4 linked regions of the Arabidopsis thaliana genome follow. The protein of the gene in region 2 purifies or fractionates together with the protein of the main gene of each other region. This does not show direct contact. Each region holds a gene or a part of one and is shown on either strand. Other genes may lie near its edges.

The links.
Region 1: the proteins of AT2G21390 (region 2) and AT1G04810 fractionate together in Arabidopsis thaliana (co-fractionation; one large-scale study listed by BioGRID). This does not show direct contact.
Region 3: the proteins of AT2G21390 (region 2) and RPAC43 fractionate together in Arabidopsis thaliana (co-fractionation; one large-scale study listed by BioGRID). This does not show direct contact.
Region 4: the proteins of AT2G21390 (region 2) and RPN8A fractionate together in Arabidopsis thaliana (co-fractionation; one large-scale study listed by BioGRID). This does not show direct contact.

The regions. Positions count from the first base shown.
Region 1 is NC_003070.9:1,348,058-1,355,977, reverse strand, and holds AT1G04810 (26S proteasome regulatory complex, non-ATPase subcomplex, Rpn2/Psmd1 subunit), read right to left. Parts: upstream 5,899-7,920; 5' UTR 5,675-5,898; coding exon 5,529-5,674; intron 5,146-5,528; coding exon 5,076-5,145; intron 4,872-5,075; coding exon 4,766-4,871; intron 4,453-4,765; coding exon 4,344-4,452; intron 4,266-4,343; coding exon 4,097-4,265; intron 3,908-4,096; coding exon 3,447-3,907; intron 3,341-3,446; coding exon 3,205-3,340; intron 3,103-3,204; coding exon 2,854-3,102; intron 2,755-2,853; coding exon 2,534-2,754; intron 2,438-2,533; coding exon 2,179-2,437; intron 2,058-2,178; coding exon 1,825-2,057; intron 1,739-1,824; coding exon 1,240-1,738; intron 1,065-1,239; coding exon 717-1,064; 3' UTR 512-716; downstream 1-511. Other genes in the region: AT1G04800 (glycine-rich protein), read left to right, coding at 6,741-7,343; AT1G04790 (RING/U-box superfamily protein), read right to left, coding at 7,835-7,897. UniProt on the Arabidopsis thaliana protein: Acts as a regulatory subunit of the 26 proteasome which is involved in the ATP-dependent degradation of ubiquitinated proteins.
Region 2 is NC_003071.7:9,150,208-9,157,409, forward strand, and holds AT2G21390 (Coatomer, alpha subunit), read left to right. Parts: upstream 1-1,732; 5' UTR 1,733-2,002; intron 2,003-2,192; 5' UTR 2,193-2,220; coding exon 2,221-2,428; intron 2,429-2,833; coding exon 2,834-3,328; intron 3,329-3,416; coding exon 3,417-6,370; 3' UTR 6,371-6,699; downstream 6,700-7,202. Other genes in the region: AT2G21385 (uncharacterized protein), read left to right, coding at 95-193, 286-351, 440-556, 693-767, 866-968, 1,057-1,104, 1,181-1,302, 1,453-1,545. UniProt on the Arabidopsis thaliana protein: The coatomer is a cytosolic protein complex that binds to dilysine motifs and reversibly associates with Golgi non-clathrin-coated vesicles, which further mediate biosynthetic protein transport from the ER, via the Golgi up to the trans Golgi network.
Region 3 is NC_003070.9:22,329,228-22,334,084, reverse strand, and holds RPAC43 (RNA polymerase I subunit 43), read right to left. Parts: upstream 3,192-4,857; 5' UTR 2,861-3,191; coding exon 2,702-2,860; intron 2,617-2,701; exon of another isoform or gene 2,491-2,616; intron 2,397-2,490; coding exon 2,211-2,396; intron 2,133-2,210; coding exon 2,003-2,132; intron 1,908-2,002; coding exon 1,827-1,907; intron 1,734-1,826; coding exon 1,546-1,733; intron 1,452-1,545; coding exon 1,356-1,451; intron 1,254-1,355; coding exon 1,160-1,253; intron 1,033-1,159; coding exon 913-1,032; intron 819-912; coding exon 715-818; 3' UTR 517-714; downstream 1-516. Other genes in the region: RALFL6 (RALF-like 6), read right to left, coding at 1-169.
Region 4 is NC_003076.8:1,733,942-1,739,250, reverse strand, and holds RPN8A (RP non-ATPase subunit 8A), read right to left. Parts: upstream 3,522-5,309; 5' UTR 3,390-3,521; coding exon 3,203-3,389; intron 2,805-3,202; coding exon 2,712-2,804; intron 2,629-2,711; coding exon 2,547-2,628; intron 2,363-2,546; coding exon 2,266-2,362; intron 2,173-2,265; coding exon 2,097-2,172; intron 1,966-2,096; coding exon 1,907-1,965; intron 1,739-1,906; coding exon 1,616-1,738; intron 1,452-1,615; coding exon 1,394-1,451; intron 1,308-1,393; coding exon 1,222-1,307; intron 1,141-1,221; coding exon 1,075-1,140; 3' UTR 511-1,074; downstream 1-510. Other genes in the region: WOX7 (WUSCHEL related homeobox 7), read right to left, coding at 4,396-4,764.

The sequences.
Region 1 (7,920 bases), on a different chromosome or scaffold from region 2:
ATACAGTTGTTGCTGCGGTTGGAACAACTGTATATGGGCTTTATATTTTATAAGGTCTATAAACATAAAACTAAAACAAAAATGGGCTCACTAAAGAAGGCCGGACAAGGTTAATCAGATAGAAGGCCAGTTACGTTTTTATTAGTAAAAAAACGCCCACACGCGCCCAGTTTATTAATTTTAGCGAAAAACGGCAGTTTTCCCAGTCTTATACGCGCTTAGTATGCGAGTGGGTAAGATATTTTCATTTGACAGTTCGCCTACCACGCGCCTCACTCATGGGCTCACTTTTATTCTGCCCATTGGGCTACAAGGAGCGTAATATAATTGACCCACATAAATTAAAAAAGGCCTACTAGCATAAACAAACTATTTTGACCCAAAATCGACAACCTGAGATTTTTATTTTTCCCCGACTGAACAATGTGGTTAAATTTTTGCAATGATTTTTATCTAATTTCCCCTAGAAAAATCATACAAGCATTAACCTTTACTTTTTTTCTTTTTTTTTGGTATATAGCATTAATCTTTACTTAGGGAAAAATGATAGTTGTTTACCATTTCTGCTCTTAGTAATATATAGATTTAAAGAAACTACTAACACAAGAACAAGTCGGAACCAATGCAATAAGTACTAGTCTCCAAGTTCAAAAAAGGAGAACTGTTTCTCTGTTTAATTAACAGAAAACAAAATGGCAACTGATCAAATTACAAAATCATGGAGAAGCGTATTCAAAGGCCTGCGGAGGTTGTGGCTCGTCATCTATGGCCATAGCAGAGGTGGTGGCTGCTTGTTGGGCTTGTCCTGCAGCTTCTGCACCCACTGCAGGGGATGCTGTTGAAGTCGGTGCATCGGTCAGAGACAGAACTTCAGGCTCATGCGGACGCAAGTCTCTGAGAAGGACAAACCCTGATGGAGCTAGCTTCATCGGTACATATCGGCTATCCTCCATCAATTTGATGTATTTCTCCTGTGAAGGGACTACACGCGCAGGATTGACTAGAATCTCAAACGTTGCTTCTGGCTCAACCTTCTTCTCCACCGTTGTAGCTGTGCTATCAACCTGGCATAGTAACATAGAGAAAATATACTTGATCAAAAGTCAAAAGACTGATGATAAATTGATCATGACCTTGAGATTAATCATAGGAACAGCATTTCCCAAAGTAAAAAATGTTAAGAGCAATTTTTCAACTCAAACAGATACGAAGATGTTGGGAATTAGATTTGCATTTTACCTGCATAGACTCTGCTTCCTTCTCATCTGACGCTGCATTGGCTTTTCCAGCTTCATTGCCAGAGTTTTCAGCTTTAGCTTTCTGCTCTGCTTCTTTCTTAGCCTTAGCTTTGGCTTTGGCTGAGGTTGAGAGCACAGCAGTTGGTAATTTGGCAGCGGTGTTGGCAGTAGCAACCGTAGTTGGTTTTGGATACTCAAACAACGATGGTTTTGCGTGTGACATGAATTCAAACTTTGGGACTTTGAGATCGTAGTTCAAACCGATGAAGGCGGTGGGTGAAAACGCCAAGCTTATGAAGTAAATCAATGGGTACCAATACCAAAACTGGCTGAAGACAGTAAGGCCAATGACTGCAGTGACTTTGTCATGTTTTGTCTTAGACAGCAGTCTTATCGTCACATTCCTTCCACCAGCATCAAGAATACCTGAAGCCAAAATTGCTCCCATCTTGCTCATTGTATCTTCATGCTTGTCAAGTATTATCTTCTCAAGTTGACGCCTGCAAAAGCACAGACAAATTTTAGTCTTCAAAAGAGAACTATTCTCACTCCCTCCAATTGATGAAGAGATCGGAACTTCACTAACCTAAATGCTCCAACGCGAGAATCGCTTGCTTCACTAATTTGGACCATCACCATGGCCATGGCAATCAGAGCACCTTGACGAACAAAGTCTACAACATCTGATGTAAGTGGCTCCAACAAAGATATCGCCTCACTCAGACCAGTGCCTGCACAAGAGATGCCAACTGCAAGAGCTGCGCCATAGCGGACATGTGGATTGTACGACTCGGAAAGAAGGGATACAATACGGGGAGTCTACAGTTTAAATATTGAGCCACCAGTTAATGACTGTAAGCGAGCACAAGAGCCCTAAAGGCACTAAAGAAATGGAATATAGTGTCAAGAAGTTAATGAGACAAAAAGAATATGGAGTTACCTGCTCTGGATCAGAGTATAAGACAAATCCAAGTGCAAGAACAGCAGTCCTCCTAACATCGTCACTGACATCAGACACAGCAAAGTGAAGAAGTTGGCGGATGGCTTTGTTGTTTGCAGTTCCACTGTAAGCCAATGCGAGTGCATACATTCCACCATAACGGATGATAGGATCCTGATCTCTAGTCATCTGCTCAATCAAAGTATCTGCTCCCTCTTCTCTTCCATATACTGTGAGAGCTATTCCTAGAGCCAATCCCCTAAACACAAAACCAGATGTTGGTTACTTAAAACATTGAAATAAATTACCATGCACCCACACACATAGCCAAAAATATATTCCAGACTTTAGTTACCTTATTATCTTCTCATGCTGAGTCTCGTGAGCATAAGCGAGCATCTCACTTGCCTTATCAGTTGCTGTTCCAACCAACAATAGACCCATGCTTATGCCGGCAGCTTCACCAGCAACAGCACTGTCAGTGTAAAGCACACTTTTGATATCATCATATATGTCTTCATCAGCTGTCCCAAGAGCAGCCAAACCAAGACCTAAACAAGCTCCGTGTTGAATAACCTGCAACCATATTTTTTTAATGAAAATCATTCTAAACAAAAGACTATCTTTTTGGTGATATAACGGAAGACTATCCAGAAGAAAGATATAGCAAATCACCTCAACACTAGTGCTGCGTAGACTATCACGAAGAAATTGCTTGATTCCCTCACCATGGTTTGCATGAATAAGGCCGAGAGCATATAAAGCACCCCCTTCGGAATAAGGACTCCCGCCACCACCTGCTCCGCCCTGAGGCAAGTATGGGGCCATCAGTGACCTGCCCTGTTGCAAGTGACCCCTATGAATAACACCTAATCCTGCTGTAGCACTAAACTTGGCCCAATTGGTGGCCCTGCTTAGCCAATCCTGACAATTCAAACATGAATGGAAAAGAAAAGAAGATTAAATAATATGCCACATAGTTGACGTTGAAACAAGTTAAAAAGTGGTAGAGAAAATAAATTTTACCAAATTCTCCCTGAGAAAAGTGTCAACTGTCGTTCCAGCATGCATTATAGCATTAGCATAAATTGTAGCACTGTGACATACACTGTTCCGCATCTCAACAGATTGTTTGATTGTCTTCAGGATCAGCAGGTCCGATCTACAAAGAAACAATGGCCATTGCTGTAAATTTTACTATGTGGAAGAAACGACTTAAGAATGAAATATCCTTCGAGATATCAAAAAAGGTAAATAAACTGCCTCACTTGTTATGGCTGTAAAGAAACTGGAGTGTCAGTTGTATTGATGTCTCTCCAGATAAAATCCCCTTAGCCTTTGTTAACCTCTCAGCGTACACAGCGTCAACAGGATCTGTTTCATGCACAATTGTCTGAGATGGAGTTTCATCCGCCATCTGAACATCCCCTGCAGTGTTCTCATTCTGAGCAGTAGAGGTTTCAACAGCTTGAATTGCTTCTACAGGACGGGTCTTGGGCGCTGGAAGGCGATCTCTAACACTCATGAGGAATGCCTGGTGCTCATTCTGTACAAGATCGAAAGAGATTTGGAAAGCCAATAAAGCATCATCTTTGTTCTCTGAACGAAGAAGCTTCTCCAATATGCTTGCAACGCCTTGTGGTTCATCCAAGAACATAAGGCATTGGCAAATGCTCAAATAATCAGGAGAAGCCAGCTTCTGGTAAACATTAACAAGTAACCGAAGAACCTGCAAGAACGAAGTAAGGATGTTATCATTTACAAATTAACAGCCCCTACAAAAATGTTTTGAGTTGACATAAAGAATGCAATGAATTATAACCATTATATTTGTAAGAAAAGAATAAAGAAGATGAGCTCATAGTATCATTAACATAATACATCTATTAAAATCCAGTTTTGTGGCCACCAGACTCACCTCATGTCTATATTCTCTTTGATTAACAAAAGAGTGGGAAACATTGATGCAGTAAGATAATGTTCCCTGCACATTCTCACTCTTTATGATCGCTTCCTCCAACTTATCCAATCTCCGGCATTCTATAGCAATGCCCATGGCTTGTTGATACTTTCCGTCAGTGATACATCTATAAAACAGAAAACCATGTAAGGAAAAACGAAAAACTTGTAGACAGACATAAATAAATAAATTCTGCATCCCATACTTGTCTAGCATTCGTTCAACAATGGCCACCAATCTCGGGTCAATTTCCACCACCTCACTTGACTCGACTGCCTTTGATCTGAGAATAGCATACTCATCTATTGCTTTGGCTGATAAGGAAAACAGAAGCATCCATGAGTAAAACATTCAACATTAAACAGTTAGTAACTGTAAGATCACTATCTTATCATGTCTTTGCGTAACTTTCTAGCAGCACAATCTTATTAAAAGAAAGATGGACGTTCAAGTCTTATTAGTTAGAAAATATATCGTATAAACTATTTTCTTAATCTTCCATTTAATCAGGTTGGAATGATTTTGAATTTACGCCTATTAAGAATGATAACCGAGCTAGTGTCTACTGTCACAGAATTGGATAAAAAAAGTAGAAGAGAAGAAAGTAGCAAACTTCAAAATCCTTACATAGAAGAGTATGAATATAATCAGAATCCTCTGACACATCAAACAAGGATCCAGCTCCAAGGGCATAGGACAAGGAATCGTTAAGCTCACCCAAGTAATAGAAAACCTGAGATAAAACAAGATTAACATAAACGTTAGAAAACAAGTCTTATAATACAATAACATAACTTGATTACAGGAAATTCAAGCTCTGAACTTCTGTAGCAATCTACCAGCTTTTAAGGTATCCGTTTAACTGGCACTCGTATCTCCACTAACAATTTATATAAAACCAGTCATCATGTAAGTTAAATAAAAAGATAAACTGTACCTTGGAGGCCAACAAGGCAGCAAGCTGTCTTTGATGCTGATCAAACTCTTCATCTTCGTATAAGCTCTCTCTACAAAAAAATCAAAAAAAGGTCTCAGAATAGCACAAAAACAGTTTAAGATCTCAAGCAAAAGTAGAGTCTCTACAACTTTCAAAAGAACAAATTTTCCGCATCATGACGGTAAGGGAGCGTCCTTAGCCCAGATAACAATGGTTCTATTCAGAATCAACAGAATTAAGTAAAGCAATTCAATAAAGTTTGTCACTTGTGAATTAACGCATTCAAATCTAACTCGACACAAGAGTGGAAAAACTTGGAATGTAATACCCTAACTAAGAAATATCAAGAGTGCTAAAACTCATCCAAATCCCATAAGCTTTACTCCCAGTAAGCAAACAGAATAGCCTCACGAAGGGAAACAATTAAAAAAAAGAGAAGAGAGAATTGAATACATGATTGGGACACTAGTGGAGATCTCGGGCCAAAATTGGTCAACCAATCTGATGAGATATGAGAGAGCGTGAAGTTTCAAGGAAGGATGGGGTTCGTTGAGCATTGCCAGTAACCCACCGGCGGAACTAACCATGGCGGCGGCCATTATCCTAATCGGAAAATTAGAAACCTAGAGGTGGAGAAGAAGAGTTGATCAGACGGAGGAACACAAGAACCGAACTACTTTGGGCGAGCACAATTTCTGAGTTCACTTTTTCACAAGTCTAATCAAAATCGAAATTCTAGACTTATCGAATATTAAGATACTTACCCAACAAGTCAAGTAATTTTTACCAATACCCCTAAATGTTTAATAAGATTACACTTTCACCCCAAATATATATGATGGATCCAAACAAAATCATAAAGTCGGAATACAAAATTGGGTCTAATGATGGGCCAGACTATATATCTTATAGTGTTAATGGACCAATCTAGCGGCCCATAATAAAAACTTTATTGGTTTGTTTGGAAGTATAGCATATGAGTTTCTAGTTTACATCATTGATTGATGACACCTAAAAAGCTAAAGCTCACAAATAAATGAAATCACATTTTAGGGTTTATATAGATAGTTCAATATTCCATAGATTGACATGGCCTGTCCTCCAACCTATAAAGCGACTACATCTTTTATCAAGTCAGAATTATTTTCTAGTAAATATTTTCTCTTAGACCATACGAGTTTTCACTTAATATGAAATTATGAATAGACATGCAGAAACATTTTCATTTTTAGTTATTGCCCTCTGAAACCTGGACAACCTTCAAATTAAATTTTAATATAATTGATATGAATGTATGATTAATATAATTCAAGGAACTGTATATAATAATTGGTGTCATATGTTCTTCAATTTTTCAACTATATTTGCATCATATTTTTCTCTTTGTGTTGGATGAGATCAATATGGCAGTTGGGCAGACAATGAAACATAAAACTTGTCCAGTGACCGGTGAAACATCTTTAACTGTTTTTACTCAACAGCAATTATATCCTAGTTGTTGTACAGGTTGAATCCATGCACATTGACGAAAAGTGCTTATGCTATCACGATCTCTCTCTAAGTCTATATATATACTGCTCATGCAAGAAGCAATTTCGTATCAAAACATCCTCTTCCAATAGCTTCTAATATTTTAACTACAAACATTTTAAGTTTCCACTAACAATGGGTCTAATCGCCGGTAAAGTGCGTGTGTTTGTTTTGGTGTTTGCTTTGGTCACAGATTTTACTATGGGAGAAGCAGAGTTTGGTGATGAGAAGCCCTTGTTTCCTCACCCTCACCCTCATCCTCTCCTCCACAAGAAGGGCTTTAAAAAAGAATTCGGCGACTTAGGTGGTGGTGGTGGTATCAGCGGTGGAGGCGGCTTTGGAGCAGGTGGCGGTTGGATTGGAGGCAGTGTTGGAGGCTTTGGTGGAGGAATAGGCGGTGGATTTGGTGGAGGAGGATTCGGAGGTGGAGCCGGTAAAGGAGTTGACGGTGGCTTCGGAAAAGGAGTTGACGGTGGAGCCGGTAAAGGAGTTGACGGTGGAGCCGGGAAAGGATTTGATGGAGGAGTTGGCAAAGGAGTTGACGGTGGAGCCGGAAAAGGATTTGATGGAGGAGTCGGCAAAGGATTTGAGGGAGGAATCGGAAAAGGAATTGAGGGAGGAGTCGGAAAAGGATTTGACGGTGGAGCAGGTAAAGGAGTTGACGGTGGAGCCATTGGAGGAATCGGCGGAGGAGCCGGTAAAGAAATTGGTGGAGGAATTGGCGGCGGAGGTCACTGAGAATTTGTTTAACCGTAATGTGCATTGATGAGGAGCTAAAATCCAATGCATGTCATTTAAGAAAACTAATTCGTTATATATGTAACAATAACTGAAATGTATGTCGTTTCTCTTTAGTTTGTTTTACTCTTTGAATATGATTGTATCTTGCTTCTTCGTGCAAGTAAAGTGAATAAAACGATTAAACAAAGCCTTGTGCATTTAAATTGATTTTAAAAGGTATATGTTTAAACTAAAGTGAATAAGTGGTAGTATCAACTTTCTTAATCTACAAAAAGTTCTTAGCTAGATATATTTAAACCCGAGAAAATAATCACAGAGATACACAGATAATCATCCCTCGCGCGTAAACGGTAGTAAAACCCCGTTTAATGAGTTCAAATTTGATGGCCAAGAATGTTTGACTTACCCGCAAAATGATTCCAGAGATCGACCGGTTTGGAAGGGTAAAATGGTAGTTTTCAAATTCTCCGATGAATTTGAAAACCTTGTCAAGTAACTGAGGATTTGCAAACCGGACATGATTTACTCCGTCCTAGCCATGGATCAATGCACTGCACAATAAATAAACAATGGT
Region 2 (7,202 bases):
ATGTCATATGCATCGTATAAATGTTGTGTTTTTGCTCTATTATCTTGAGTAAATTGAGTTTTGTTTTGTTGTTGTTGCCATTTTCATTGAACAGGTTGAGAAGATTGTTGTTGAAAATATCCTTGCTTTTGATGAGGTTTTTTGGATAAGACTAGCAGCTAGGTCGGATACTTGTAAATCAGAAGATGACAAGGCATGAGTTTATATTGTTTATGTCAATGATAGAGCAGACTTTTGATCTCTTTTGTTTCCGCTAATGCTTTGAATACGGTTTGTTTCTTACAGAAGGACTATGAGGAGTTAGCTACAACTGTGATGACTATAGTTGACTGTGTTGTGAATAAGACTCGGGTTTCTCTTTCTTCTGTGGTTTTATTGTCTCTTCTTCTTCAGCGTTTACTTAAACAGGGATAACTGAGAGTTCATTATATCCCTTTAGGAAAAGATAGAGACGTCTACTGATATTCTGAAAGGGATTTTAAGACCTGCTATAGATGGAGTGGAAGAGATTTCATGGCCGCCAAGAGATCCTGAAGCCATCAATCTAATGAAAAAGGTTTATACTAGTTGTTCTTCACTTTCTACTACATCTACACATTTTTTATATATACAACCTATATTCAGAAGGGTTATCTGGTCTTAGATTCTGTGATTTGATATCGTCATGGTTACTGAGATCAGTGTATTAACAGGAAATTATACAACGGGAAAAAGAAGGGCAATTAGATGAAGGATTTCTTTCAGAAGTTAATGCTCAGCTCCGGCAGGTAAGTGCTACAATTTGTTTTGTTTCACTTCTGAGGTCTTTCCTTTACAGTGAATAGATGTATTCTTTTGAATGTTTGAGGCTGACGATTGTTTTCAGGCAAAAGAAGATAAAGACAAACCAGGGTTATTGGCTATGCTGCAAAAAGTTCTTCAACTCTATTCTGCTACTATCCTCTCCAAGCGTAGCTACGCAAAGAAAGGTGATTTGCCCAATTTTGAAAACTATGCCAAGTCACTCTAAACCATTTTCTACGAACATAATCTCATCCACTATAGCTATTGTCACAGGGAACGAAGTTGTAAAAGCCGAGCATTTTCTTGAAACTCTGATCAAAGGTCTGTTCTGCAACCACTTTTCCATGTACTATAGACCCCAGCCAGACTTCACATCGGTTTATTATGTGTGTTTCAGCTCCTGAGGAACAATGGAACAAGCTTTTCGTAGACGGGTTAACAATCGGAAAAGGAGATATCACACCTGATGAGCTATCTGCTGTTATCAAGAAACGAATCGAGCGCACACTGATTCGAACTGTAAGTAACATACCATGACACATTTGCTTGCATTGTTATTATTCTCTTCAGGAGTGAATGCGAGGCTAACCGGGTTTTGGGTTGGGGTTTTAACCAGATATTGTTTTCTAAAATTCATCATTCTAACCACAACTATTCTGATCATACCAGGAAGGGGGTTCATACCAGCAGCGAATTTTGACCGAGTATCTCAAAGGAATCGAGTCCAGGGCTAATGAAATTATGAAATTACTCCAGGGTTAATGTCGTAAATCATGTATTTATCTATACATTTTTGTGTAATATCAGTTCAATAACCCCAATTAATATATTGTTTTCTCTCATGTAATAATTTTTTGATTGAGCATTTGAAGTGTTATCTGATTTAAAAATATGAAGCTCTGTAGTCAAAATTTTACAGATTTTAATTATCTTGGAATAAAAAATGTAAAGTTGATGCTTCCATATAAAATAAAAGTAAAAATGAGTAATTCATGCCAATTAAATTAGCGAGACGCAAATTGGAGACAGAGATAACTGAGCGGAGGGATTCAGATCTATACGACGAAACTGAATCTCACCGTCTTCTTCTTCTTCTTCTTCTTCTAGACGATCCTTGTGTTTCTCTTGCTCTCGCATCCACGCTTCTCTGGTAATGCTACTGATCGTCACCGTGAAGCTGAGCTTGATCGCTTCCCCTTGTGAACTGATCTGATCTGAGGTGAATCTCTATTTCTTCTCCTTCTTCATTGTACGAATCTCGATTTCTCGGATCTTGCTGCTTCTTATCGTTAGATCTGTTTTCAATTTCACGTGGATTACGTTTTTTTTCTTCCTTTTGCGGGTTTTTCGATTTCTTTGAACTGATCTTTCTCCATGATTTTCATTCTCTGTTGATCTGGTTTTTGTAGAGTTGTTTCTGTTTCGTAATCTGTGAATATGCTGACCAAGTTCGAGACCAAGAGTAACCGAGTTAAGGGTCTGAGTTTCCACCCTAAACGACCATGGATTCTCGCGAGTTTACACAGTGGTGTGATCCAGCTCTGGGATTATCGTATGGGTACTTTGATCGACAGATTTGATGAGCACGAAGGACCTGTTCGTGGTGTTCATTTCCACAACTCACAGCCTTTATTCGTCTCTGGAGGTATGCTTTGTTATTGGTAGGCCAATAAGTCTGTTTATTACACTTTCATGATCGATAAATCCTGATCTGCTTAAGTATTAACCCTTAGCTAGTTAGCTTCCTCGGTTCCTAGATCTAGCTTGGTCTCCCAACCTTTGTTTAATGGATGACTTAAGCTCTTATAGTCCCAGCTGGAGTAAATAATTTGTGTTTAAGTTACTTATATAACATATTGGATGATTTGGACCTAGTGCATTGAAACCAGATCTTATGGTACATGTTGCATAGTATTTTATTTGAACATAAGTAAGTACTCAAACAACTAGAAATGCAAATGGCTTGGATTCTTCTTCGTTACAGTTATAATGCTCTTACAGAACATTACTCATATGTAGTTGATGGCATTGATTACATTGGATGTTGCAGGGGATGATTACAAGATTAAAGTTTGGAACTACAAAACTCACAGGTGTCTTTTCACTCTTCTCGGGCATCTTGATTATATCCGCACTGTCCAATTTCACCACGAAAACCCATGGATTGTGAGTGCTAGTGACGATCAGACTATCCGCATTTGGAACTGGCAGTCTAGGACTTGTATTTCCGTGTTGACTGGTCACAATCATTATGTTATGTGTGCTTCTTTCCATCCAAAGGAAGATCTTGTTGTATCAGCATCACTGGATCAGACTGTCCGTGTTTGGGACATTGGTGCTCTTAAGAAGAAGTCAGCATCTCCTGCTGATGACCTCATGCGATTTAGTCAGATGAATTCTGATCTTTTTGGAGGGGTTGACGCTATAGTTAAGTACGTCCTTGAAGGTCATGATAGAGGAGTCAACTGGGCTTCTTTTCATCCCACACTTCCTCTCATTGTCTCTGGTGCCGATGACCGCCAAGTAAAGCTGTGGCGTATGAATGGTATTTCTTATGGATATCTGTCTTCTTCTTCACAGAAAGTTAATTTTATGAATCATTGAGGTACTGATGCGTTTCAATTTTGTTGCAGAAACTAAAGCTTGGGAGGTGGATACATTGCGAGGTCATATGAATAACGTTTCATCCGTTATGTTCCATGCAAAACAGGACATTATCGTGTCAAACTCTGAGGATAAAAGCATCCGTGTCTGGGATGCTACCAAGCGAACTGGAATCCAAACTTTTCGTCGTGAGCATGACCGATTCTGGATTCTTGCAGTTCACCCTGAGATTAATCTACTTGCAGCAGGACATGACAATGGTATGATTGTTTTCAAACTTGAGAGAGAACGTCCTGCATTTGCTTTGAGTGGTGATTCGTTATTCTATGCCAAAGATAGATTTCTGCGGTACTATGAATATTCAACTCAAAAAGATTCCCAAGTTATTCCTATACGGCGTCCTGGTACCCCAAGCTTGAATCAAAGTCCGAGGACTTTATCCTACAGTCCGACAGAAAATGCAGTCTTAATCTGCTCAGATCTGGATGGTGGTTCTTACGAGTTGTACATCATACCGAAAGATAGCGTTGGCAGGAGTGATGTTGTACAAGATGCAAAGAGGGGGACAGGGGGTTCTGCGGTGTTCATTGCTCGAAATCGGTTTGCTGTTCTGGAGAAAAGCACCAGCCAGGTGTTAGTGAAGAATCTAAAGAATGAGGTGGTTAAAAAGAGTTCTTTACCTATTCCCACAGATGCTATCTTTTATGCTGGGACTGGAAATTTGCTTTGTAGATCTGAGGATAAAGTGGTTATATTTGACCTTCAACAAAGGCTTGTTCTTGGTGAGCTTCAGACACCGTTTGTTAGGTACGTTGTTTGGTCTAACGATATGGAGAGTGTTGCTTTGCTCAGCAAACATACTATCATTATTGCGAGCAAAAAACTTGTCCTACAGTGCACGCTTCATGAGACAATACGTGTGAAAAGTGGAGCATGGGACGACAATGGTGTCTTCATTTACACTACTCTGAACCACATCAAGTACTGTCTGCCTAATGGAGATAGTGGAATCATCAGAACCCTGGATGTCCCAATCTACATCACCAAGGTGTCTGGAAATACAATCTTTTGCTTGGACCGGGATGGGAAAAACAGGGCTATCACCATTAATGCAACCGAATACATTTTCAAGCTTGCACTACTGAGAAAGAAATATGATCATGTCATGAGCATGATAAAGAACTCCCAGCTATGTGGACAGGCTATGATCGCTTATCTTCAGCAGAAAGGATTTCCTGAAGTTGCCCTACACTTTGTTGAAGACGAGAGGATCCGATTCAACTTGGCTCTTGAAAGTGGCAACATCAGTGTAGCTGTTGCATCCGCTACAGAGATTAATGAGAAAGACCACTGGTATAGACTCGGAGTGGAAGCTCTTCGTCAAGGAAATTCTAGAATTGTTGAGTTTGCGTACCAGCAGACAAAGAACTTTGAGAGGTTATCTTTTCTATATCTCATTACTGGCAATTTAGACAAGCTGTCAAAGTTGATGAAGATTGCAGAGGTGAAGAACAATGTAATGGGTCAGTTTCACAATGCACTCTACCTAGGAGATGTTAAAGAGCGTGTTAAGATACTAGAGAATGCTGGTCATTTGCCTCTAGCTTATATCACAGCTTCGGTTCATGGTTTAACTGACATTGCTGAGCGACTAGCAATTGAGCTAGGAGACAATGTGCCTTCATTGCCTGAAGGGAAGACTCCATCGCTTTTAATGCCACCGTCTCCCATCATGTGTGGTGGTGATTGGCCTCTACTGAGAGTGATGAAAGGAATATTTGAAGGAGGACTTGAGAGTGCAAACAGAGGGGCTGTTGATGAAGAAGAAGAAGATGTTGAAGGCGACTGGGGTGAGGGACTTGACAAATTCGATGTTGATGGAATGGAGAACACAGACATCGAAGCCATATTGGATGGTGCAGAAGCAGGTGAAGAAGAAGACGACGAGGAAGGTGGATGGGGACTTGACTTGGATCTTCCACCAGAGCTTGACACTCCTAAAGCCTCTGCTAACGCACGTTCATCTACTTTTGTGACACCTCCTCAAGGTATGCCCGTAAGTCAGATTTGGAGTCAGAAATCTTCCCTTGCTGCTGAGCAGGCTGCAGCAGGAAGCTTCGACACTGCAATGCGTTTGCTCCACAGGCAGCTTGGCATTAAGAACTTTGCGCCTTTGAAATCGATGTTTCTTGATCTGTTCAGTGGGAGCCATAGCTATCTGCGTGCCTTTTCTTCATCTCCTGTGGTTCCTCTTGCCATTGAGCGTGGATGGAGTGAGTCTTCCAGTCCTAACGTCCGTGGCCCGCCAGCTCTTGTTTTTGATTTCTCTCAGCTTGAAGCAAAGCTCAAATCCGGCTACAAAGCTACAACAGCTGGGAAACTATCTGAGGCTCTTCGTGTCTTCCTCTCTATTCTCCAAACCATCCCATTGGTGGTAGTTGAGTCAAGAAGAGAAGTAGATGAGGTTAAGGAACTGGTCATCATTGTTAAAGAATATGTCCTCGGTCTTCAATTGGAGCTCAAGAGGAGAGAGATGAAAGATGATCCGGTGAGGCAGCAAGAGCTCGCTGCTTACTTCACTCACTGTAAACTTCAAACACCTCACCTACGGCTCGCGTACTTCAGTGCAATGACCGTCTGCTACAAGTCAAAGAACATGGCTACTGCTGCTCACTTCGCCAGAAGTTTGTTGGATACAAACCCAACTATTGAGAGCCAGGCCAGGACGGCTAGACAAGTTATGCAAGCAGCTGAACGCAACATGACAGATGCAACAACACTCAACTACGACTTTAGAAACCCGTTTGTGATATGCGGGTCCACTTATGTGCCAATCTACAAAGGACAGAAAGACGTTGCATGTCCTTACTGCACTGCCCGGTTTGTACCAAGCCAGGAAGGTAACATTTGCTCGGTCTGTGATCTTGCAGTCATTGGCGCAGACGCATCTGGCTTGCTATGCTCTGCCTCTCAAGTCCGGTGAACAAGTCAGAATGATTATGTGCTTCAATCGTGAGGTAAGTACGAGATGCTCTTTTATGGAAGAAGAGTGTTGAGCTTTTGGTGTTTGTGAATTTTCCGCTGCAACTTCTATTACTCTTTAAAGTCTTTATGTTGTTTCTTATCTTAGTAACAAACGCATGAGAACTTTATCTTCTTGCTTTATCTCTTTTTGTTTGATTTTATTTTTACAGTCTCAGGACATTTCATTTAGGCTTATCGGATTTTAAACTCGATTGAGAAATATAGACGTAATATTTTATAAATTTTCAGAATTGTATCCATTTTCTTTTGGTGAATTTTCAGTTGATGCCTAATTTACTATTCCAAATACTTATAAAATTATCGAAAAAGTTAGAAATATCCAATAAATGTGGTTAGTTAGATGAACCGTTAAGACTGGTAGATAAGCTCACGGACAAACTCTCGAAATGACTCGATCACAGCTGCCTCTTTACTTCTTTTCTGTTTTTTAATTTGTCCGGTCGCTTGAATTTGAGTGTGAGAGAATTTTCCACACATTTGTCTTCCAAAACTATCAAGATCATGTAGCTGCTTCATGGATCCTCAAAGCAACTACATGAACGCTTCCTAGCGAAACATGACCGTTGATAGTCATGCCAGTCATGTCATGGAACCCCCTCCGGCACACGAATGATGGAGTTTTGTCCACTGTCAAACTGCATTCTAAAAAGCTTTCCAACTTCTGGATAAACAGAATCCTATGATGAACACCATCCATATCAATCGACGAATCTCAAGTTCTCGTCCAAAACATTAAACATTCGTGATCTGGTCCAAAACACTAAAGACTA
Region 3 (4,857 bases), on a different chromosome or scaffold from region 2:
TTTTGACACATTCTTTGGGATTCTTACTGCTGCAACCTGGAATTATGTCTCCTTTCATACCATTATAGTTTATATATGTTTGTCCTTCTCCAAATCCGCTGAACAATGATAATATAATCATTACTGAAACAAAGAAAATGCGGATATGACTCTTTTTGTGTGCAGCCATTGTTTTTTGAGAAAACAAAAACAATGTAATTGAAACTTCTTGATATTTTTCTGTGTTATTATATTTTTGTAGTTTGAATACGTGATTAATTATTAATTTGTGTTTCTTTGATTTATAATGAGAAGGATGATTCTAAAAAAAAGACGGCCAGTGCATAATGTATGTGCTGATAGAGTTTCGTGGCTATTTATATGTCATTTACAGTTTTTTCGGTTAATATGTTCGGTTGGTTTCTAGCATGGCAGCAAATTTATCGGCCACAACAAGACTTTCGTGAATATCTGTGTTGTCGTTAGTGTTTGTTTGTTTCGTTGTTGTAAAAATTGATCTGTTCTGTTGTTTCTTCACTCTGTTCAGTGCTTGATGAATGTGTACGTACGTACATCCATCTACTCTTCAACGTTCACATGTATATTCTAAATTTGAACCGAGCCGAAACCAAGTATATATAAATTTCAATGTTCTTTGTATTAACTTCGATACAAAACCCAAAACTGAACTAAACCGGAACCAAGCCGGTAGAGCTAAACCAATTTAATCTCTTTTCAGGAGAGTTCAGAGATTACTCTTTCACATTTATCTTCCAATATCTTCACTGCTTCGTTGAAAAGAACCTCCGGAGGCTGTGATCCCGTGGACTCAATTGTAACTGCGAAAGATGATAAGAAACTCAATTAGAATCTCTTTCAGTACCATGGAATTGCCAGGTTGAAGGAACTGTGTTTTTCTTTTTCTTTTCTTACATATAAAATGGTTCTTGACACGGCGCAGATCCACTTGGTCCTCCCATTCCACTCCATCTCTTATGCATTCTCTACACAACGAACAATCACGCGGCCGAGCTACTGTTGCCCTCTTCCTACCTGTTTTCCACGTTTGCAAGTCAAATTAATTTGCCGCCAAAGTTCTCAGGTTTCATCAGAATCTCTTATTGTTACTCAAAAGCAAGTAAAGACATTTGAAGGAAACTTGGGAAGGCTTTTACTTCACCTTGGCCCATGTCTTCAATGTCAAAAACTTTCTTGGGGCAGACTTTTACGAGTTCTTCGGCATGTTTACCCTCGAATTCCTTTAGTAGAACCACCTAAGATATTATAAACAAAAAGCATTACCGGAAAAGCCTAGGACGAGTCAAGAAGAAATTAATTAAGTCCTTTTCCCAGAAGGCTTATGGTGAACTTCTCACCTCAGGAAGCATTCGATACCAAGCCGTTGCTACTGGGGACCACTTTGCATGTGTTTTACCAATGCCCTTAACGGCATGAGCCTCAAGCTCGATTTCCTGCAAGAAGAAGATGCAAGTCTTTCATCTCTCAACGGAATTAAGTCCTCAAAAATGTCACAATTAAGGGGAAGAGTATAAATAGAAACAGTACCTGGCCAGGGCCAAGTTTTGCTATCAAGATATCTTTTAAGGTTGGCCTGATAGGATTTTCAGCAAATTCAGGGAAGGAATCTTGGCTATGGTTGAATGAAGTGTAAGTTTTTGGCGTTGTGGTTGAACCTCCAGATTCTTTGATAAGCTCACTTCCATTTGGTAACCATTTCAATTCGCTTGTTAAGACTTCAAGAAATAAAAAAATGATACCTCTCATGAGATCTCGAGCTAACAATAAAACAAAGACTCTTCTTGAGCAAACCAAAGAACATATATTACCTTTACGACGCGGGTCACCTTTTAGACATTTCACATGGAGTTTGAAAACAATGGTGTTCTTTTCATTTGGCTGATCGTTTTCTATGACACAAAGATAAACAACAACAAAACTAAGCGTGACACAAAGAGTTTATATGCTTAATGAGATGGATCACATTCCACAGAATATTTCTTACCAGATAAATATTCAAAGAGTCTCGGATCTGCGGCAATTGGAATAAGACCCAACCTGTGAGCAAGAACTTCGTCTTGAATAACCGATGTGTTGTTTGCTACATACACTTTTTCAATAGCCATTGAAGGAAGCTGTAATCAAAGAAACACTATTAACCAAAGATTCTAATAATCAGAGATTCATCAGAGGTAGTGAGACAGTGGGCAGACCTCAGCTAAGAGGATTCTTCGGAAAGCATTAGCGATTCCTGCATGGACACCGATCATATCGAATACCATATCTGTCTCTGTGAGACTAATCACATCAACTTTGAAATCCTCAGAGAAGTTTTCTAGTCTCACACTGTTGTCCACTCCCATAGAGGAATAGGCACCCGAGAAAGTGATAGCCGTAGGCTACAATAAAACACAAAAAGAAAGGGAAGAACATTAAAGACTTCAAATTTCAAACAATCATCACTCAATATCATTCGGATTTCGACAAACCCACAGTGTAATCTTCTTAAATTGCTAAGACCAAACTCAGTAAATTCACAGCTTTCTACAAGCAAGTTTTAAACTTTACTCTGTAAATCTACACGAAATCGATGAACATAGCAAACCCACATGGGACACACTGAGAAAAGCCAATAAATTTCTAGTTAGCTGAACTTATACATAGCTTAAAAAGAGTGTAAATTTTGATCGAGAATAGTACTTACATGAATATTAGAATCCTTCTTACAGACAACGCGAGTTCGCTGGAGCTCAAGATGCGGAGGAAGTCCGGTAGGAACGTCAGGGAGATCAAATATGTTGAAGTTCTTCGCTTCTCTCTTTTCTTCATCAGTCACAATCCTTGTTACTTCGTTAGTCCCCATCCTTCTCTGCAGCCAAGTTCGATTGTGAGAATCCGAAATCAGGGTTTAAGGAGAAGAGGAAGATGAAAATTGCACGATTTCACTTTTCACTTCAATTTCGTTCTTCAATTTCATAAAACTGGAAAATTAGGGTTTATGGACACGTGTGAATACTAGAAAAAAAAACATCCATTTTTCTAATAGCGGCATGGCTTAAGTCCGAACCGAAGCGGCTGAACCGTCCAACCGGAGTTTGGTTGATTTCTGACTTTTAAAATTTTCGTTACCACCAAACCGAAATTCTAATCTTAAGTCCGAACCAAATCGACATTTTTTTATTTTTTAATTAACCACATATTAGTTAAAAGATAATTATATGATTGGTCGCCGAATATGGAAAAAAAATCTACAAAACAAATTTGAGAAAACAGTAAACGAAAAGAACGAACTAAACAATCTGTCTTATAATTAAACAAATGAGATATATAGAAAATCATGAAACGAGAAATATAACATTCGACATTTTGTTTGATTTTCTACTATATAACTTTTCCAAATATAAGTAGAAATGTCGATTTCTAAACAAACCCGATCTGAATAATCATATTCTCCAAATTTAGTTATGGCAGTTCAAACCCATAATGGTGAAGGTTCTCACTCCAGTATTTTTTTTATTATAGCATACCAAGATAACCAGAAGAATGAGCCAAGAAACTAAACAAAACTAAAACCAAAACTAGTTCCAATCAACTCAAACACGAAAGTAGATAAATAACAAACCACATGTGATTTCAAATTTAGTTTAGTCTAATAAAAAACAAAAAGACTAAACCGGACGACCATACATTGGGTCCCTATCGTAAATTAGCAAACAAATTAGTGTTGCCCATTTTAAAAGTTTGAACTCTTCTTTATTTAAAAAAAGAAGAAGAAGAATTGAACTGGTCAGGAAGAAAAAAATAGAAAAGGAGAAAAAGGACAGAGGGAAAATGGAGAAAAGTAGAGTAAAATGGCGTCACACCAGAGAGAAGGCACAACTCACGGGGAAATCAGCAGAACCAATACCACCGCCACCGGTTACTATTACTATTCTTGTTATCATCATCTCCCAAAAAAAAAATGTTAGTATTATTTTCGAGTCTATTTTTCAAGTTTTTGTTTTGTTTTTAATATCTCGACTTTGCCACCCAACTCCTCCCACTCCTTCACAACTGTGTCCTGTCCTCTGCTGATTTCTCACCTTTCCATCATTCATTTCATTCTTTCTTTTTTCCCATCCGTTTCTTTTATTCTTCTTTCTCCTTAAATTTAAAATCTTTGAATTAAATTATTGGATTTTATTGTTTCAAAGCGTTTCTATCATCAAAACCCATCTTCTTCTTCTTAAGATTCTGAATCATTCATTGATTGATTTAGCTTCTCTTCGACTTCTTAATTTTACAGTTTTTTTTGTTTTTTAAACTTTAATTGATGCAAATAAGCAAACTTGGATCGCTGTGAGCCTGTGATAATGATTTCTTTTAGGTTTGTAGGATCTGAAGGAAGCTACGGTTTATTTTTTTTTATGGGCAATCTCTAACAGGTACAAATCTTCTCTTAGCTTCTCTCTTACAAGATCTTTAGGTTATGTCTTGTTCTTTGGAGTTGCTATCTTTCTTCCATGTTCCAGAGGTTTGCCTTATTTTATCACTTTTGACATAATAATTTATTTTGCCTGTTTTTTGTTACTTGGTTTAATATTCAGATGAATCTTTGACCATGATCTCTAAATTTGGTTCCTAGGCAAGATCAAAGAAAGTTCATCACATAGGAGTTGATCATGAACCATAGTTTCCTCAAAGATCTCAACTTTGTCTCTAGTTGGATTGTAATCTGTATTGCTTAGGACAGTTAAATCTTATTACATCTTGGCTCGTCATGTCAAAAGCTGAAGATATTTGAGCTTTCATATCTTACAACTAATTAGTTTCGTATGTCTACAGGTTTCTTACTGTAATTTTTCTGTTTCAGTTCTTTAC
Region 4 (5,309 bases), on a different chromosome or scaffold from region 2:
TAAATTAATCACTTTGGTTACTTCGTCACTATGGATTTGGTCACCTCAATGGGATATGCGACCTAACCACTAACTAACATACTAATATGAAAGTCGTCTTCTTGAATGCTTACGTCACGTCTGTATAGTATACAACTACATTGTTACTTTTCGTAGTGAGCTACGTTATTTTGATTTTTATTTTGTTTACACAAAATTATAACGGTTTCGATTTTTGAAACTTTTTTCTTATAGATATCTAAGTAAAACAGGACAGTAATATATTGATTTGCAAAATGAGTATCCTTAACAAGGATTAACATAATACACAATAGAAAAAGAAGGTGTTCAAAAGAAGTAGACTTAGAAAAAGAAGAAGCATAATGCGTATCAAAGCACGTTCTTGTTTTCGTTTCTGTCTTTTGGCATCAAATATCCTTTTCACGAACATTACGCCATTTATTAACTTTATTTTCCTCCATAATCCTTTTTCACTTTACTTTTTCTTCTTGTTGTTTCTTTTCAATTTAAAGAAAAGCTCATCAAAATGTATAGTCTTCCTTTTTACATCTAGGTAATATGCAAATTATTCAGTTCTGCTAGTAAACAAATTCATAAGTAACACCCTTGTTGTGGTCAATGGCTCTAATCAGAAATTTCATACTAAGGACAAACATGAAGAACATGTTGACTTTGGAAAACGAACAACATTCAACCGGGGCTGTATACTCGGTCACGATGTGAGAGTATAACAGAAGGGGGGGGGGGGGGGGGGGGGAAATGTGAAAAAAAAAATCTTAATTTCAATAGGATAAGACCATCTCTGTGGAGATTTCGACACATTGACGTGAACTTTTGTATTCAAAACCCCCTCAAAAGAGGCCTAAGCCTAACGAACTTGAAAGATAAAATGAAAAAAGACTCTTTGATACATTCTGAATCAGAACAACTGAGAGAATTCAACAATGTCGATATCAAACTAAACTCGTTCGTTCCCCCACCCTGACTTGACCCTTTGTTTTGGGGAAGAGAACACACAATAGCTGCCTTCATCGCGGGCAATGATGACTACAGTAAGTCACGAGAAAACCTGATCTAGCTGGTGGCAGGTATGGCCACAGGCTTTGAGTCCTCTGCTTTTTCATGTTCCTTGTTCAGTAACTGAAACACAGCATCATCACAAGATTTAGTTCAGAATCACATTATTGTGTGCCGTGAGAGAGAGTAAAGTAAAGATCTAACCTTGTTGTTGATCAAGTTGTGGAGCGCAATTACACTCCGAATGAGGGATGATAGATAGATAACGAGCATCATGTCATTTGTTTTCACTGCACATTATAAATACAGTAAAGATTAATGAAGCAGATCTAAGAAAGCAGCCCAATATAATATCAAAATGATAGCAGAAACTCACCGGAGAAGGCCTTGACCAACTCGTTCACATTCAGGTTAGGAAGCAAGTTGAAAACGTCCTGTCGATTTTACGAGAATATATTTCATTAGACGAAATCAACCAACAGCAGAGACAGTGACTAGAATATTTTAAAGAGCGCAAAACACATAGGTTTGGACATTGTCAAATAGTTTCTCCATAATTTGTAAAATTCAGAACACGAAACGGAAATATAGTTCTAACCTGTAGATGGTATAAAATCTCATGGTTTAGAGGGAGCTTTCCTTCGATTACAAGGTCAAGATAACTCCGGATCTCCCGAAGACGTGCATCCAACCCCTTCAAAGCAGTAAGTTTTGCAGTGACCTGGTGCAAAATACTATAAAGTTATTTATGTCCTCGAGCAGAAAACTATTATGTCCATAAGTAACCTTGCAAGAACATCAATACAAATCCTACAAGTCCCCCATCATGATTTCAACAGACATTTAATGGGAAGATAATGAAAATTTCATGTATTGTAAAGACAAGAACCTCAGTCGCGAGGGTACTGATTGTTGTGTCTTTCACATCCCTGAGCAAATGCTCCACGCCTGTACAAGAACAAGAATGACGCAGGTAAGTGTCAGAAAATCTTCCTCAGAACAATCACAAAACACATTTCTTTAAAACTCAACCGAGATGATGAAATCATCAAAAGAACTGTTTTCCCTTTTGGACATACCGATTTCCTCAACTTCATGAGCAGCAATTTCTGTAGACACATGAACGAAAACTTTCTGGCTTTTCTGAGTAGCATTCTGGAGAGAAAAAGAAGTGTTTAATCAGCATCTGATTATAATAAGCATACAACTTTACAAAAGGGACAATATTTGGAAGGGTTTGTATCTTACCTCCTTAACCTCCTCCACTGCATAGTATGCTTTGGTAGGGATTCCAAGTTCTTTAGGCTGGACATCAATAATGACCAGGACTGGATTTGGAACATAGCTGCAAAACCAAAAGCAAAGTGAACCTTAATTGGAGATGAAACCGAAGCCACAAAAAACGTAAAGTGGGAAAGAAACACAGATTTCAGCCTAAAACAAATCTTTATCACAATTTAAGAACCAGAAGATCCTCAATCCATAAAGGCCAATCAATTGATATCTGAATGATTAAACTGGAAACTAACCCATTGAACAACGCGTGAACATCCAAATCATTCTCTCGAAGTTTAGGGCCTGTGCTGTACCAACCTACAACATGCTCCTTGGCTGAAAAGCAAGTAGGTAGTGTTAAAAGCATGGATTTCTACAATGTCATAAACAGTATAAGCATCAGTTTCCTGAGAAAATACCATTAATTCTCTTGAACATGTGGAACATTGACTCATGGTAGTTGTGATCAAGAAACCAGATGCTTGGGTCTTTGTCATCCTCCTCAAAGGGCACTACAATTCAAGATGTCAACATGTTAACACGAATTCATATGTAAACAACATCCATCTATTAAAGAGGTTTCTAGTGACAGTGTCCATAGATAAGCAAGCACCTCTGCAAACTTAAATGCAACTAAATCAACCTAAAACAATCTCTTTCTCGACGGGGGCTCGATTGAATCTTAAACCCTAGCGAGAACGTGATTTAACTGAAGTAAACATCAACTCTAGAAGAGGTCAATTCCGGAACAGAACAGCCACAAAAAAAACCTAAATGGTGTTATTATACACATCTGCCTAGAACCCAGGTATGAATAACCACTCAATTCAAGTTTCAGTTTAGAGACCTCAACAGAATCTGAGATCTGGGATCCAAGAGTACTAGAGGAAAAAGGATAAATAAGGCATACCTGCATAGCTGTTGGTGACATCAACAACACCACGAGAGCTGCTCCCCAGAAGAACACCGACGACACGCTTGCTTGAATCCTTAGCGACGCGATTGTAATGGTCGACGATACTAAGCAAGACTAGTGGATGAACAACCACTTTCTCGATCGTCCTTGCTGAAATCTGTTGCGTCTTAATCACATCCATTGTTTGAAGAATCAAGTAATCTGATTTCTCCGGAGAAGATTTGAAAAACGTGAACTTTCCGATCTGGTTTTCCTTTTTTTCCCGACGGAGCTTGAGAGTTTGCTTCTTCTCCAGGAAAAACCACTTTGCACTAAATTGCTTCTAATATGGTCGTTTTATTTTATTTCCCTATAATGGGCTTTTCTTTTGTTAAGCCCAATATGATGGGCCTGATCACGTCATTTATTGGGCAATTTTCCAATATACATTTCTCGAAAATTTATTAAGACGGTGGATAATTAAATAGGATTTTATTTCTTATTTTATCAAATATTTTGAAGTAATTTTTCAAACGAGTGCTGAAAATATGAATTGTAGAGGAGAAAATAAAATAAAATAATGACAAATTAAGTTGTGGAGACTTTCAAAAGTGTAAATCATAAATGTGATACAAAAAGAAATATCATCCCTTCCACTATGGTAATGTTATAACCCTAAATCGTAAGTACTCATTTCACGGGTAGGCCACAGAACAGAACAGGCAATAAGTGAAGAGAAGAAGCTAATGAAAAAAAATGTAGCAACGATATTATTAGGTTGATATTGTTACAAGGGAAATTTGTCAAAATCTAGCTAGATCTAAATAAATGTGATCATCATGTCTTTATTTCTTAGCAACGTCACCACTAGAGTTGTACGTTAATATCAAATCCGTTCATAGAAAGCTTAATCGGAGATCCAACGGCGAATGTTCCATCTCAGCCCCACATGTTGAGAATGTAGAAAACGCCGTCGTATATGCTTGCTCTCGTGTGTATTCGTTGTGGCTCGCAGCAGTAACGTTTGCTCTCACTCTCTCAACTTTCGATAATGGGAAGAGTTGCAACGTCTCTATCATTTTCTCTTCTACTTTACAAACTTCAAAAATATTTATAAGAAACCAAGACACATTATTAGCGTCTTAGTGATAAACTGATAATATATACTGTAAAATGTGATTATAAAACAATCTAGAAAGAGATCTTGATTAACCTTTCGCTGGTAGTTGATGACGACGTACGTTGTCTCGGCGAGGCTTAGAAAGATCTGTATCTTGACGATGATCAAACTTGACGGTGGAGATTTTCCGGCACTTTTGTCTCTCTCTAGCTTTATGGTTTTGGAACCAATAGAACACGTTCTTGCTCTCAATCTTACCGTAGAAACTCAGCTCCATAGAGATCTTCTGAATCTGGTCCGTGCTCGGTGTTCGCAGTCCCGCCTTGAACAGATCTGTCAGAAGCTTCACTTGCTCCACCGTTGGATTCCACCGTCCACACTTCGCCCCCGTTCCTCCTCCTCCGTTGTTGTTATTACATAATCCTCTAGCTTTAATGTTGAATCCTCTCGACGACATTATTAATTTCAAGAAATAGTTATCTTAGTGTTTGCGTTTTAGGGTTTTGGATATGTTATATGATTATAGGCGATGGACTTCGTGATGTGAATGGACCAAGGTTTGAATATATAGATGAGTAGATGATGTTTTTTTGAATGTTTGTAGATTTTTTTCCGATATGCTATTATAATCAAAAAGAAAGAATAAGGGGAATAGATTAAGTAACTGTGTTCGTGTTTTGAGTTTTGTGTCGTTTAACTAGTGTTGTGTAGGATAAAGGTAGAAAAAATCAAACAGAATCAGTGCGTTGTTTATTACGAAATGCATGCTTTTGTTTTTGGGATTCGGGAGAGACTGAATTTTCCCGAGAATTGATCGTTTTCTTTTATCCTAGTTAGCTAGGGTTACTTGCTGCGTAATTTCATCAGTAATTGTGAACTGATTGATTTCTTGATTAAATGTGGGATGTTGTAGCCTGTGGGGTTGAGTGATGTTTCAATTATATATGTTGCAAATTTAAGCTAGAGAACATGTAGCGTGTGATCAGTTGTCGTACGATAATT